3 linked regions of the Sus scrofa genome follow. The main gene of each other region encodes a partner of the protein of the gene in region 2 in a complex. Links are inferred from orthologs where the notes say so. Each region holds a gene or a part of one and is shown on either strand. Other genes may lie near its edges.

The links.
Region 1: the proteins of MAPT (region 2) and PIN1 are in contact, whole or in part, in an NMR structure (PDB 1I8H), measured with the Homo sapiens proteins. The link is inferred for Sus scrofa from reciprocal best matches to the Homo sapiens genes MAPT and PIN1. Residues at the interface, in NP_058519.3 of Homo sapiens: Val546, Arg547, Thr548, Pro549, Pro550, Lys551, Ser552, Pro553; in NP_006212.1 of Homo sapiens: Arg17, Val22, Ser32, Gln33, Trp34.
Region 3: the proteins of MAPT (region 2) and YWHAZ are in contact, whole or in part, in a crystal structure (PDB 8QDV), measured with the Homo sapiens proteins. The link is inferred for Sus scrofa from reciprocal best matches to the Homo sapiens genes MAPT and YWHAZ. Residues at the interface, in NP_058519.3 of Homo sapiens: Ser637, Cys639, Gly640, Ser641, Leu642, Asn644, Ile645, His646, His647; in NP_001129171.1 of Homo sapiens: Glu14, Leu43, Ser45, Val46, Lys49, Arg56, Arg60, Lys120, Arg127, Tyr128, Glu131, Gly169, Leu172, Asn173, Val176, Glu180, Ile217, Leu220, Asn224.

Annotation. Positions count from the first base shown.
Region 1 is NC_010444.4:68,725,877-68,730,094, reverse strand, and holds the end of PIN1 (peptidyl-prolyl cis-trans isomerase NIMA-interacting 1), read right to left. Parts: intron 2,254-4,218; coding exon 2,143-2,253; intron 1,248-2,142; coding exon 1,138-1,247; 3' UTR 624-1,137; downstream 1-623. UniProt on the Homo sapiens protein: Peptidyl-prolyl cis/trans isomerase (PPIase) that binds to and isomerizes specific phosphorylated Ser/Thr-Pro (pSer/Thr-Pro) motifs.
Region 2 is NC_010454.4:17,120,771-17,124,414, forward strand, and holds part of MAPT (microtubule-associated protein tau), read right to left. Parts: intron 3,537-3,644; coding exon 3,483-3,536; intron 1,663-3,482; coding exon 1,397-1,662; intron 1-1,396. UniProt on the Homo sapiens protein: Promotes microtubule assembly and stability, and might be involved in the establishment and maintenance of neuronal polarity.
Region 3 is NC_010446.5:36,002,919-36,006,562, reverse strand, and holds part of YWHAZ (14-3-3 protein zeta/delta), read right to left. Parts: intron 3,363-3,644; coding exon 3,239-3,362; intron 1,798-3,238; coding exon 1,634-1,797; intron 1,553-1,633; coding exon 1,457-1,552; intron 1-1,456.

The sequences.
Region 1 (4,218 bases), on a different chromosome or scaffold from region 2:
ACCTGCCGGGAGCACTTATGGTGACAGGGAAGCAGGCATCAGGGTGCTGGGCTAATTTGGTCTAGTTGAAGTGGTGCGAGTGTGCGTGCATGTGTGCATGGGTACAGAGTGGTGGTGGTGGTGGAGATGCCCAGAGCACCGAGATTGGCTCTGATGAATCCAGAGCTGTGCGGTCAGGGCCCTTGCATTCCAGAATATTCTTTTTTTTTTTTTGGCCACCCAAGGCATATGAAGTTCCTGGGCCAGGGATCTGATCTGAACCACAGTTATAACCTATGCAGCATCTGTAGCAAGGCTGGATCCTTAACCCACTGTGCCAGGCTGGGGAATCGAACGTGCGCCCCAGTGCTCCAGAGAGGCCGCTAATCCTGTTGCACCACAGCGGGAACTCCTCTAGAATATTCTTGACCACCCAAGTTTGAGGACTTCTGATACTCATCAGTGCTCTACTTCCGAGAGTCTGGCTGCTGCTAGGATGCCCCCAAGCCCAGGATGAGGAGAGGCTTCTGAGGGAGGAAAGTGCAGCCTGGACACTTGGACACAAGGATGGCAGGAAATGATCACTTCCCCAACAGTGTCCCACCCACCTCAGCAGGGAGGAAATGAGACACGGGACAGTGGAATAGTGGTTCCAGGTTTAATTGAGGGTGGAGAGGGCGCTGCACTGCTGTGTAGAGAGAGCCCCGAAGCAGCAGGCAGCCTGGGCCCCAAGCGGAGCATCTGCTTTTTGCAATTGAAAAGAGGAACATGGCATAACCAGAAACAACTTAAGGCCCTCCTGCCCGCACGCCCCCCCACCCCCTTCCTGGACCTGGGGGAACACAGGGGGTGGCTCGGCTAACTAGGCCTTCTCTTTGGGACAGGTCACCCCCACCTGCTGGGTCTGGGAGCCTGGAGGGCCTCTCCACCCCAGGCCCTTCTGAAGTCAATTCCTAAAAGGGAGGGGAGTCTGGCAGGGAGACCCCGATGGTGAAGAGCCCCCCTTCCAGCCATGTTGGGATCAATAAATACTGTGTGACGTTAGCAGGCAGGGGGACCCACAGGTCGGCTGGCAGCAGGGAGCAGGGTCTGTGGGCCCAGCCACCCCGTCCCGCCCCACCCCACACCGGGAGGCCAGGCCTGAGCTGTCCACACCCCTCACTCCGTGCGCAGGATGATGTGGATGCCGGAATCCGTGAACACGGGCCCGCTCATCTCCCCTGTCCGCAGAGCAAAGGAGGCGTCTTCAAATGGCTTCTGCATCTGACCTGGGGAAGTATGAAGGCTGGTGTGTGCGGGGGGGTCAAGACCCGGGCCTGGGGCCAGGACCGGGCAGAGCCAGCAGATGGGGCGCCCACATGCCCGCCCCTGGCCCTCATTCAGACTCATCTGTCACAGGTTTATGGCCCTGTCAAGGGGCCAAGCTGCGGCCCAGCTGGGGGCGGCAGGGCTATTAAGGAGGCCCCAGGAAGCCGGAGGACAGTGTGAGGGATGGCAGGCAGAGCTGCAGCCTCTACCGTCCACTGAAGAGATACTTTTTAGTAATGAACTGATCTCCCTGGGCCCGGTTCCCAGCCACTGCCACATCACTTGTCCTACCTGCCTCCTGGGGTGGTCCGCAGCCCCTTGCTGGCTCCCTGACACCCCTCACCCCATTCTGGGCCCCTGATGACCCTGGGGATGGAGGGGGAAGGAGGCGGTGGCCTGGTTCCCTCTGCTCCTCGCTTTCCACAGTCTCAGCTGCAGAGGCCGGAACTCAGCGGTTGCTCACCTGACCTCCCTCCTCCCCTCACCCTGTTGTTCCCACCCACCAGGGGAGGCAAGGGATTCTGGGCCTCCAAGGGCCCCAGCCTGACATCTCCAATGGGAGAATAGGAAAATGTCAGCAAGCACCCACCCTGGTGGGCCTGTGATGGGGCCAAGTGAGCAGAGAGACACACAGACCGCCTCCCCACCCTAAGAAAGAAGGTCATTGGGAGAGGGCTCTGCGGCCGCCACTCCAACAGGGGAGCCTATGAAGCTCGAGGAGGAACAGTGCTGCCACCTGGTGGACCCTAGAGGCCTGCGCGACAGGGGCCAGCCCACCCTATCTCTAGGTGGGGGGCAGGCGCTGGTGGGTTAGGGGTTCCCGCCAGGGTTTGGTGGTGCCCATTCCTCGCGCACCTCTGCTGAAGGCACCCAGGTCTCCCCTGGCCTTGGCGGAGTTGCAGTCGCTGAACTGTGAGGCCAGAGATTCAAAGTCCTCCTCTCCCGACTTAATCTTCTGGATATAGCCTGCAGGACACACCGGGAGACCTCCACGTCAGTGGCGGGGCGGGGCGGGGGGAGCTCCAGGGAGGGCGGCAAGGCACTCCCTGTGCGCATGCGCAGTCACACCTGGAGTCGCAGGCACCCACGATGTGGGGCTTTTCATGTGCATGCACACCGCGACCCTATGGTGACCTCAACAGCCAGCTGGTCTCACACCCCATTCAATGCATGAGTCTCCCCATAATGGGCGCCTGTATGAACACGAGTACGCATGCGCGCACACATGAATGCTCCGTGAAGAGCATAGCTCTTCCTGCCCCTTCTCTCGACACACACGCTATGAGAGAAAATCTTCCTCCGGGTCGTGTTAGGGAGGATAGCAGGATACAGGACAGATGTTAAAAAGGGTCCCCCCAGGGGCCTCAAGGCAGTGGTAGGAAAGTTTTCTAGAGGCTTCTAGGAGAAAGGCAAGAAGGCCAAGGCACGTGCCCAGTTCTGCCATAGGAGACGGCCAGGTCCTGGGCCCATGGGTCTCAGCTGTCCCTTCTGTCCAAAGTGTGAGAAAGGCCAGGGCCGCTCACCAGGGCATTGCCAGGGGACCCAGAGGCTGCCAGGCTGGGGCTCGGAAAGGGACGTGCATTGTTCCACGGAGTACGCCCTAGGGGCGGCTGACAAGACTCTTCCTCCAGCTGCCCTGACAGGGTGTGTTGGCAGTGTACCACATTCACCCACCGTATGTGGCCCGGACTGTCCCCACTGGGGACCGATGCTCCCTGGAGGGACAGGGAGGCTGGGCTCTGTGAGGGGAGGAAAAGATGAAGGACTCCCAGTAGAGGGCGCCAGGGGGCAGCAGCGAGCCCAACGCTAGCCTGGTGCAAACTTCACGGTCTGACCTCAATGTCACTTGTCATCCATCTATCTGCCCCAGACGACCAGGACAGCACTCCCTATCACCCTGCCACCCCAACCCCATCTCGCTGCACATCAAGGCTGCAACCGCCTGTCCCAGCATCTGCTTTGCCTGGCTGGTTCCATGGCTGTCCCTATAACCCCCACCTTCCCTGTATCTTGGCCACGCTCATACTGTCCTGACCACCCCTCTACCTCTGAGCCTCAAATGTTAGTCATCTGCCAGCAGATAATGCACTGACACACAGCACAGTGCTCGGCACAGAGAGACACCTTGACAAAGCACACTTGCTGTTGCCATTCTGTTCTCCCTTCTGTGTGGGCTGCCAGCCAGTGATGAGGCTGTCCCTACTCTCCCATCCACCCATCCCTGGTCCTCCTGGTCTGCACTGGCCGTCACCTTGACATGCTGCCTGTCAGACAGGCTCTCTGATGCAACACAAAAGCCCCAACCTCTACGGACTGCATGCTGCAGTGGCTTCTGCTATAATGTGCCAGTGTGCTCGGACCACCCCTCTGGGGCTCCCAGGTGGTCCCCCTAAGCCAGAGGCATCTTCGAGTGACTATGATCTGAGTGACTCTGGGCTGAACAGGCTGTCACTGGGATATCCCTCCCCGACCTCCTCTTCTCCCTGGATTCTGGTTCTCTCTCAGCCTCACCGGGGCAGCAACAAGATGGCCTCTTCCTCGCTCCTCTGTCCAGACCTCGGTAACGCCAGCCAGGGAATCCTGAGTGCACAGTGGCCCCCAGTGTACCTGTCCACCTCCAGGGACTCTGGCGAGGGCACCATTTACACCTGGGGAGTCAGGCCCAGCCCTGTATAAGCACCCCCTTGCTGCATCCTCCAGCAGCTGGGGGTGTGGATACAGCCACAGGATCCCCAAGACTAGATGGCCTGTCCAAGGTACATACACAGTGAGTATGTACAGGCAACAGCAGCCTAAACACTGACTAAGAGACAAGCTTTTGCCCCCTCCCGTAGTTCACAGCACCCAAATCTTCTTCTGATCGGCCAACTCCCTCAGAAAATATCCTGCTTGGATGGGAGCCTGACATGATTTCTAAAAAAATTTGTTTCA
Region 2 (3,644 bases):
TGCAGGAAGGTAAATATGGCCCTGGCCCAGCCCTGTGGCCCTAAGACTAGGTGGCGTTGAGACCCAGAGAGGCAGCCAGGCCTCCCCTGGGCAGGAACCTTCGGGCCCCAAAGATGGAAAAGGCCAGCAGGTGGCCCTGAGGTTCCACGAGGAGAAAAGCTCAGCATTTCAGGTGAGGCACCAACATGGACCAAATGCCACGGACGGACTATGAGACACCCTCCCTCCTAGACACCAGGGCCCCAGCCGAGAGGGAATAATAAGATCTGGAGTGCGGAGGTCCCTGCTGGGGCTCCCGGCTGAAAGGGATACATTGGCTTGGGCTTCTGTAAAGCTTTCCCTGCCCACCAGGAGGCTCCCTGCCCTGAAAACGGCCCAGTCTGGAAGGCCCAACCCAAGAGCAGAGTCTTGGTCCTCTGCTCCCCAAACCCCTCTTCTCCCTTCTCTGTTCCCCTCCCTGGTGCTGGGTGGGAGGGCTGTTACTGTGTCTCCCCAAATTTGCAGGCTGAAATCCCAACTCCCAGGACCTCCAGACAGAACTATAATTTGGAAGAGGGTCTTACAGAGGTCATTAAGTTAAAATGAGCTCATTAGGGTGAGCCCTGCTCCAATATAACTGGAGTCCTTGTAAGAAGGGGAGATTAGGACATAGTGACACCCTGAGAAAGACCATGTGAGGACATGGGGAGAAGGCAGCATCTATGAGCCAGTAAGAGAAGCCTCAGAAGAAACCAACCTTGATTTGACCTTGGGCTTCTGGCCTCCAGAACCATGAGGAATCACACTTCTGCTGCATAAGCCACCCAGCCTGTGGTATTTTGTACACCAACCCTGGGAAACTCATACAATGGTGGACCCCGGTCGAGGCCAACCCCAGCTCCCTCCAGCTCCTGCCTTCGGAAGCTCATTTTCTCCACCTTTAGGAGACCCAAAGATATCCTGAGCGCCCACTTGACCCTGGAAGAATCACCCATTTCCCCAGAACAGGGACCTAAATAAATGTCGAACAAATGCCAGACGTACTCACCTGCAGACTGGTTGTGTCATGTCCAAAACACAAGGCAGCTGGGGAGCCCCTCTGGACACCCCACTTTGAGAACTCCCGGGTTATGGAGCTACAACCCTGTAATCTCTGATGGGGGGGGGGGGGTCTGGAGTGCGCAAGGTAAGAAACAGTGTTTCCTCTTCCAGGGCAGGGGGCTCTTGGCCTGGTGGTGACGCCAATAAAGAACTGAACACAACCCGACTGCCTTCGCGGAAGAGGTCGGGGAGCGGACTGCGCCATGGGGGCAGCAGCAGAGCCCCTCGCCCGCCTCCCCGCCCGCACGCCCTCTCCTCGCGCCCCAGCCGCTGCTGCTCGCACAGCGGCCTCCCATTGCGCCTCCGCAACACCTACCTTCCCGCCTCCCGGCTGGTGTTTCAGGTTTTCGGTGGAGCCGATCTTGGACCTGACGTTCTTCAGGTCTGGCATGGGCCCGGGGGCAGTCTGCAGGCGGCTCTTGGCTGCAGACGGCGACTTGGGTGGAGTGCGGACCACTGCCACTTTCTTGGGCTCCCGGGTGGGCGGGGTTGGCAAGGATGGCGTGCGGGAGCGGCTGCCCGGGGTGCCTGGGGAGCCGGGGCTGCTGTAGCCACTGCGATCTCCAGACTTCCCAGATTCACCTGGAAAGTTAGAGAAGGACTATCTGTCTCAGGTCCTTTCCCAGACTCAGGGCTGGATCAGCCAGGCGGGAACAAGGTTGGAAGCTCTGTCAAATCACCAGGAGGCGGCCCTTGATCCCATTTCTAGGGAAATGTCTCCTCTGCGCAGCCTTGCTGCTCTGGGACGGAGAAATTCCGCTTCCTGGGAAGCAACAGAGTGGTTGATCCCAGAGGGGGATCAACCCTGCTCCATGGCCCTGGGGTCAGGAGAACCTCCAACTAGCTGTGTGGTTTCAGACAAGTCACTTCCCCTCTCTAAGCTCTGGGAATACAACTTGAAGGTGGAACTAACTGTAATGGTGAGCGAGGCCAGGTGGGGATACATGGTCTTTGCCAGGAATAAGGGTGATGCAGTGACTGGCTGCCCACCACCCTCTGGGCTCTTTAACCACAGAGTGAATTCTAAGCTGTTCAGCAAGTTCAAGTGCCCTTTTCCCTCAGACCCCTGCTGGACCTCCCAAATCCTCTGTGGTACCTGGGCTCCAGGACAGAATGCCTGTTTTGTGTCCCTCTGTCCCTGGCTTTCTAAACAAGCCATGCCGCTTCATGCTGCCTGCCCACCCCAAGGACACCTCCCCGCCCCCACACACCAATGCACGACAAATAGCAATGCACCTTTCCAGACACAACATGGGCACCAACCTTCAAAGAAGGCGCTGGACCCCCTCTCTGCCAGCAGACCCAGCCCCGGGCTCCCTGACAGCACCTCTTTCTCCTCTCCTCATCCCCATCTCCCTTCAATAGCTTGCTCCCCCGTCTGCCTCTTGAATCTGTATTTCCACAACTGTGGCCCAGGCAGCCCTGCATCAGAATCTCTGGAGCTGTCGCACAAGAGTGGGGGCCTGTAAAGATGCAGATTCCCAGGGCCCCATTTAGACCCCAGAGGGTGGGGTCCTCCAACACTGGTGCTTCCCCCCGCCCAGGGATTCCTGAGCAGAGTCTGGGCTGGAGACTCTGCCCAGGACGGTCCAGGTCCCCTCTCGCTCTGAGTTTGGTGGCTGGCTCCCAGCTTTCCACAGTGACGCCCCTGCTCCAGGGACCATCCCTACTGAACAGGGAACTGCCTGGCCCCGAGCTGGAGAAGGACGGCTCTTTGTTGGAAGCAGCGAAAGGCTAAGTTCTTGTCAAAAGGGAGAATGAGCGCACGGTTTTTAGAGTTTGAATCTCCATGTCTTTTGGAAATCCTTCAAGGTGTAAAGCTCTGTGGCAACAGGCCTGGGGAAGCTTTCAGGCTCAGCACCTCCGCCACTGTCACCCAAGCACACAGGCGGCCGGTGGACCCGGCGGTGGCTTCCAATCTGTGCTGCACCACTGAATTGCAGAGCGACCTTGGGTGAAGTCACGCAGCCTCCCTAAGCCTGCCCTCATCTGAAAAGGAGGGCAGCGGACCCCTCAGGCTGGGTTTTACAGACCGGATGTAGGAACGGGGTAGTGCCCAGTGCCATGGTGCATGTGTCATAGATGCCAGTGGGGATGTCACACCTAACCTGGCTAGAACAGTCCAAACCTCCAGCGCCCACAAGCAGCAGGAGACACTCACTCCCCTGCCCCACCCACAGCCCTCGGCTGAAGTGAGTGAGAGCACGCAGGGTTAGAAAGGCCCATCCACACAAACCACACAAAAAGAGGAGCAGGAATTCTCGCTGTTCCAACCTCAGGCTCCATGCGTGAGACCTATGTTTCAGAAGCAGATCCTCCCGGCTCTAAAAAATCTAAGCCAACCAACAGCCACAGGAGCAAAAAGGGGTGAGCCCCCCTGGGCGAAGCAGGCTCAGAATTACCTCTCTCAGTTATTGCCCCTGCAGGGGGTGGTTTTTTCTGCACTTGCTTGGTCACTTAAAAAGAAAAATCCACAGAAGGCCTTGTTATCATCAAGCTTAAACAGGTCTTAATGAGCTCTTCACGCAGCAGGCACCCCACCCTGCTCCGGGGGGTCATCCACA
Region 3 (3,644 bases), on a different chromosome or scaffold from region 2:
TGTTAATACTGGTCAACCGGATCCAGACTCAAAATAGTAGACAGTTTTAACAAAATTTCTTTACTTGACAGATGAAACGATCCAGTCAACCTATAATGATAACAGACAATACAACCAAAGCTCAGAGAAGATTACATAGTAAATGGTGACAGAATCAGAATCTGAACCTTGGTTTTCTTACTCAGCTGTTGTATGCTATGCCATACTGATAAAATTCAGCTGAAAATATCTATTTCAGATCAAGCTTTCTCAAAAAGTGGTGTCAAAACAATTCAGAAGGGACTAGGTCTCAAGTTATACCTTTTACAACATCATTTCAAAACAGAAAAATATGAAAAATTATTAATATTAAAATTAGCTAACAAAATGCGTCTTCCATTTGATATATATAAGATTCATTCTTTTAAGAAATTATTTCAGTGTTTAATAACAAACAAGTACACAATACCATTCAAAAAACTGCTGATAACATTCAACACTAGAATGTGTAACTGGTTCAGAAAATTGGTGATGGATTAGATAAAATAAAGCTGGAAAAAAGTGAAATATATAAAATGATGATGTACAATCTCCAAGAGAAATGGCCCTCAAGCTAACAAAAATCAGTAGCACTAGACTATAATCGTTCCTAGCTCTTTACCCAGCACAGGGCAGATACTTGACACTTAAAAGCTAAACTCTCCTGTGACTACATGGAAAAAACAGAATCAATATATTGAAATGAAAAATAAAATGAACTATGTGATTGAAAGTTCAAAATCTTGAATTAAAAAATTATTTTAAAAACAAAATTTTGGGAGTTCCCATTGTGGTTCAGTGGGTTAAGAATCCAACACAGTGTCCCTGGGACACAGGTTCGAGTCTTGGCTTCCCTCAGTGGGTTAAGTATCCAGTGTTGCTGCAAGCAAGCTGTGGTGTAGGTCACAGATACAGCTCCAATTCAGCTTGTATCCCGAGTTGCTGTGGCTGTGGTGTAGGCCCACAGCAGCAGCTCCAATTCAACCCCTAGCCCAGGAACTTTCACATGCCGTGGCTGCAGCCCTAAAATGAGAAAAACAAAACAAACAAACAAACAAACAAAACCCAAAATTTTAACAATGGGTATATAATTAATGAAAAGGCACATTTTTAGTCCTCAGTCTAATACTGGTTTCTGTAAGGTGGTTTTCTTCACAGTTTTAACAGTTTTAACAACAGGTAGATCTTACACTTGTCTTAAAAAAAACAAGGTACATACTTTATTAAGTAACTTTATTGATAAATTACCAAAAAAAATTACAGAGACAAGAAGTGAACAAATGCTTTTGAGAAAATGGCACCCATAGACTTGCTCAACGCAGGTTTGCCACACACCTTCAATTTGTAAAAATTACAGCATCTGTGAAGTGCAGTAAAACAGATTTGCCTGTAATCTCTTCAACTACATCAACCATTAATGATACTGTTATGTACTTACTGTCAAGTTGTCTCTCAGTAATTGCATTATTAGCGTGCTGTCTTTGTATGACTCTTCACTTAATGTATCAAGTTCAGCAATGGCTTCATCAAATGCCTATGATTAAAATAAAATACATTTCAGTGCTCAAATACTAGTGATTACTGAATTTCCATGTAACATGTAAAAAATACATACTGTCTTTGCAAGAGAGCAGGCTTTCTCTGGGGAGTTCAGAATCTCATAATAGAACACAGAGAAGTTAAGGGCCAGACCCAATCTGATAGGATGTGTTGGTTGCATTTCCTTTTTGCTGATTTCAAAAGCTTCCTGGTATGCTTGCTGTGACTGATCCACAATCCCTGGATGATAAAACACACCAAAACATATCGATAAAAGTTTGCACTGCACCTTCACTCCTCAAACTAAACCTTTACTGTCCAATGATAAATTTTGAAATAAATTTAAAAAAATAAGCTTCTCCTGGAATACGCACTAGCCAATGACCAACGTTAGGGCAACATCTCTGTAATTATCTCAGTATTATCTTTAATAATTAGTTTGTGCTGCCCTACAGTTACACTGTAACTACTGCTTCTTAAAATTGTGAGGAAACATTCCTATACATAAAATTGGCTTGTCAGTGAGCATACATTTTACAATACCAATTATCAGGCAGTAAATACACAGTTGACCCTTGAACAAGGCAGTTTAGACTCTCCACATGCAGTTGAGAATCTGAGTATATTTTTTGGGGGGGGGGTCCTCTTTTTTTAGGGCCACACCGGAGGCATATGGAGGTTCCCAGGCTAGGGGTCAAATCAGAGCCTTAGCTGCTGGCCTATACCACAGTCGCAGCAACTCCGGATCCTAAACCCAACTGAGCAAGGCCAGGGATTGAACCTGCCCTCTCATGGATACTAGTTGGGCAAGGATACTAGTTGAGCAAGGCCAGGGATTGAACCTGCCCTCTCATGGATACTAGTTGGGTTTGTTAACCACTGAGCCATGACGGGAACTCTTGAGTATAATTTAAAAGTCGGGGAGTTCCCGTCGTGGCGCAGTGGTTAACGAATCCAACTAGGAACCCATGAGGTTGGGGGTTCGATGCCTGCCCTTCCTCAGTGGGTTAACAATCAGGCCTTGCCGTGAGCTGTGGTGTAGGTCACAGACGCGGCTCGGATCCTGCGTTGCTGTGGCTCTGGCATAGGCTGGTGGCTACAGCTCCGATTAGACCCCTCCTAGCCTGGGAACCTCCATATGCCGCGGGAGTGGCCCAAGAAAAGGCAAAAAGACAAAAAAAAAAAAAAAAAGAAGTTGGCTCATCATATATAGGATTCAACCAATCTTGATTTGTGTAGTACTATAGTATTTATGGGGAAAAAAAGTCCCTGTGTAGCTCAAACTTATGTTGCTCAAAGGTTAACTGTATAGCCTCAGGACTTCTTTTATTTTTTTGTCTTTTTGCCTTTTCTAGGGCTGCTCCCGAGGCATATGGAGGTTCCCAGGCTAGGGGTCTAATGGAAGCTATAGCCGCCAGCCTACGCCAGAGCCACAGCAATGCGGGATCGGAGCCGCATCTGCAATCTACACCATAGCTCACAGCAATGCCGGATCCTTAACCCACTGAGCAAGGCCAGAGATCGAACCCACAACCTCATGGTTCCTAGTCGAATTCGTTAACCCCTGAGCCACAATGGAAACTCCAGGACTTTATTTTTTAAAAAAAGGAAAAAGTCCACTACTTCTCTTCATTTAACTGTTATTTTATAAACTTGCAGCAAAAAGGTCAAGGCAGCATACCCTTCTTATCATCACCAGCAGCAACCTCAGCCAAGTAACGGTAGTAGTCTCCTTTCATTTTCAAATAGAAGACTTTGCTCTCTGCTTGTGAAGCATTGGGGATCAAGAACTTTTCCAAAAGAGACTTGAGAAGAAAAGAAAGAGAGTCATAATTAAGACTAAAATATTTACAAAAACTGAAAGAATCTGCATTTATTAAGAGCATACTATAGCAAAAGTTTTAAAACTTTAATACCCAGTCATTGCCAATAATAACAATTTTTGAATGCAAGCGACTCATAAATTTGTGGCTTAAAAGCAGAATGCTTTAGACAGCAATACTTAAAATTGCCCTCTCTCACCCATAGTGCTATCAATTTACATACTGATAAAGACTGTATGTTTCGATGAATATGAAAACATGAGT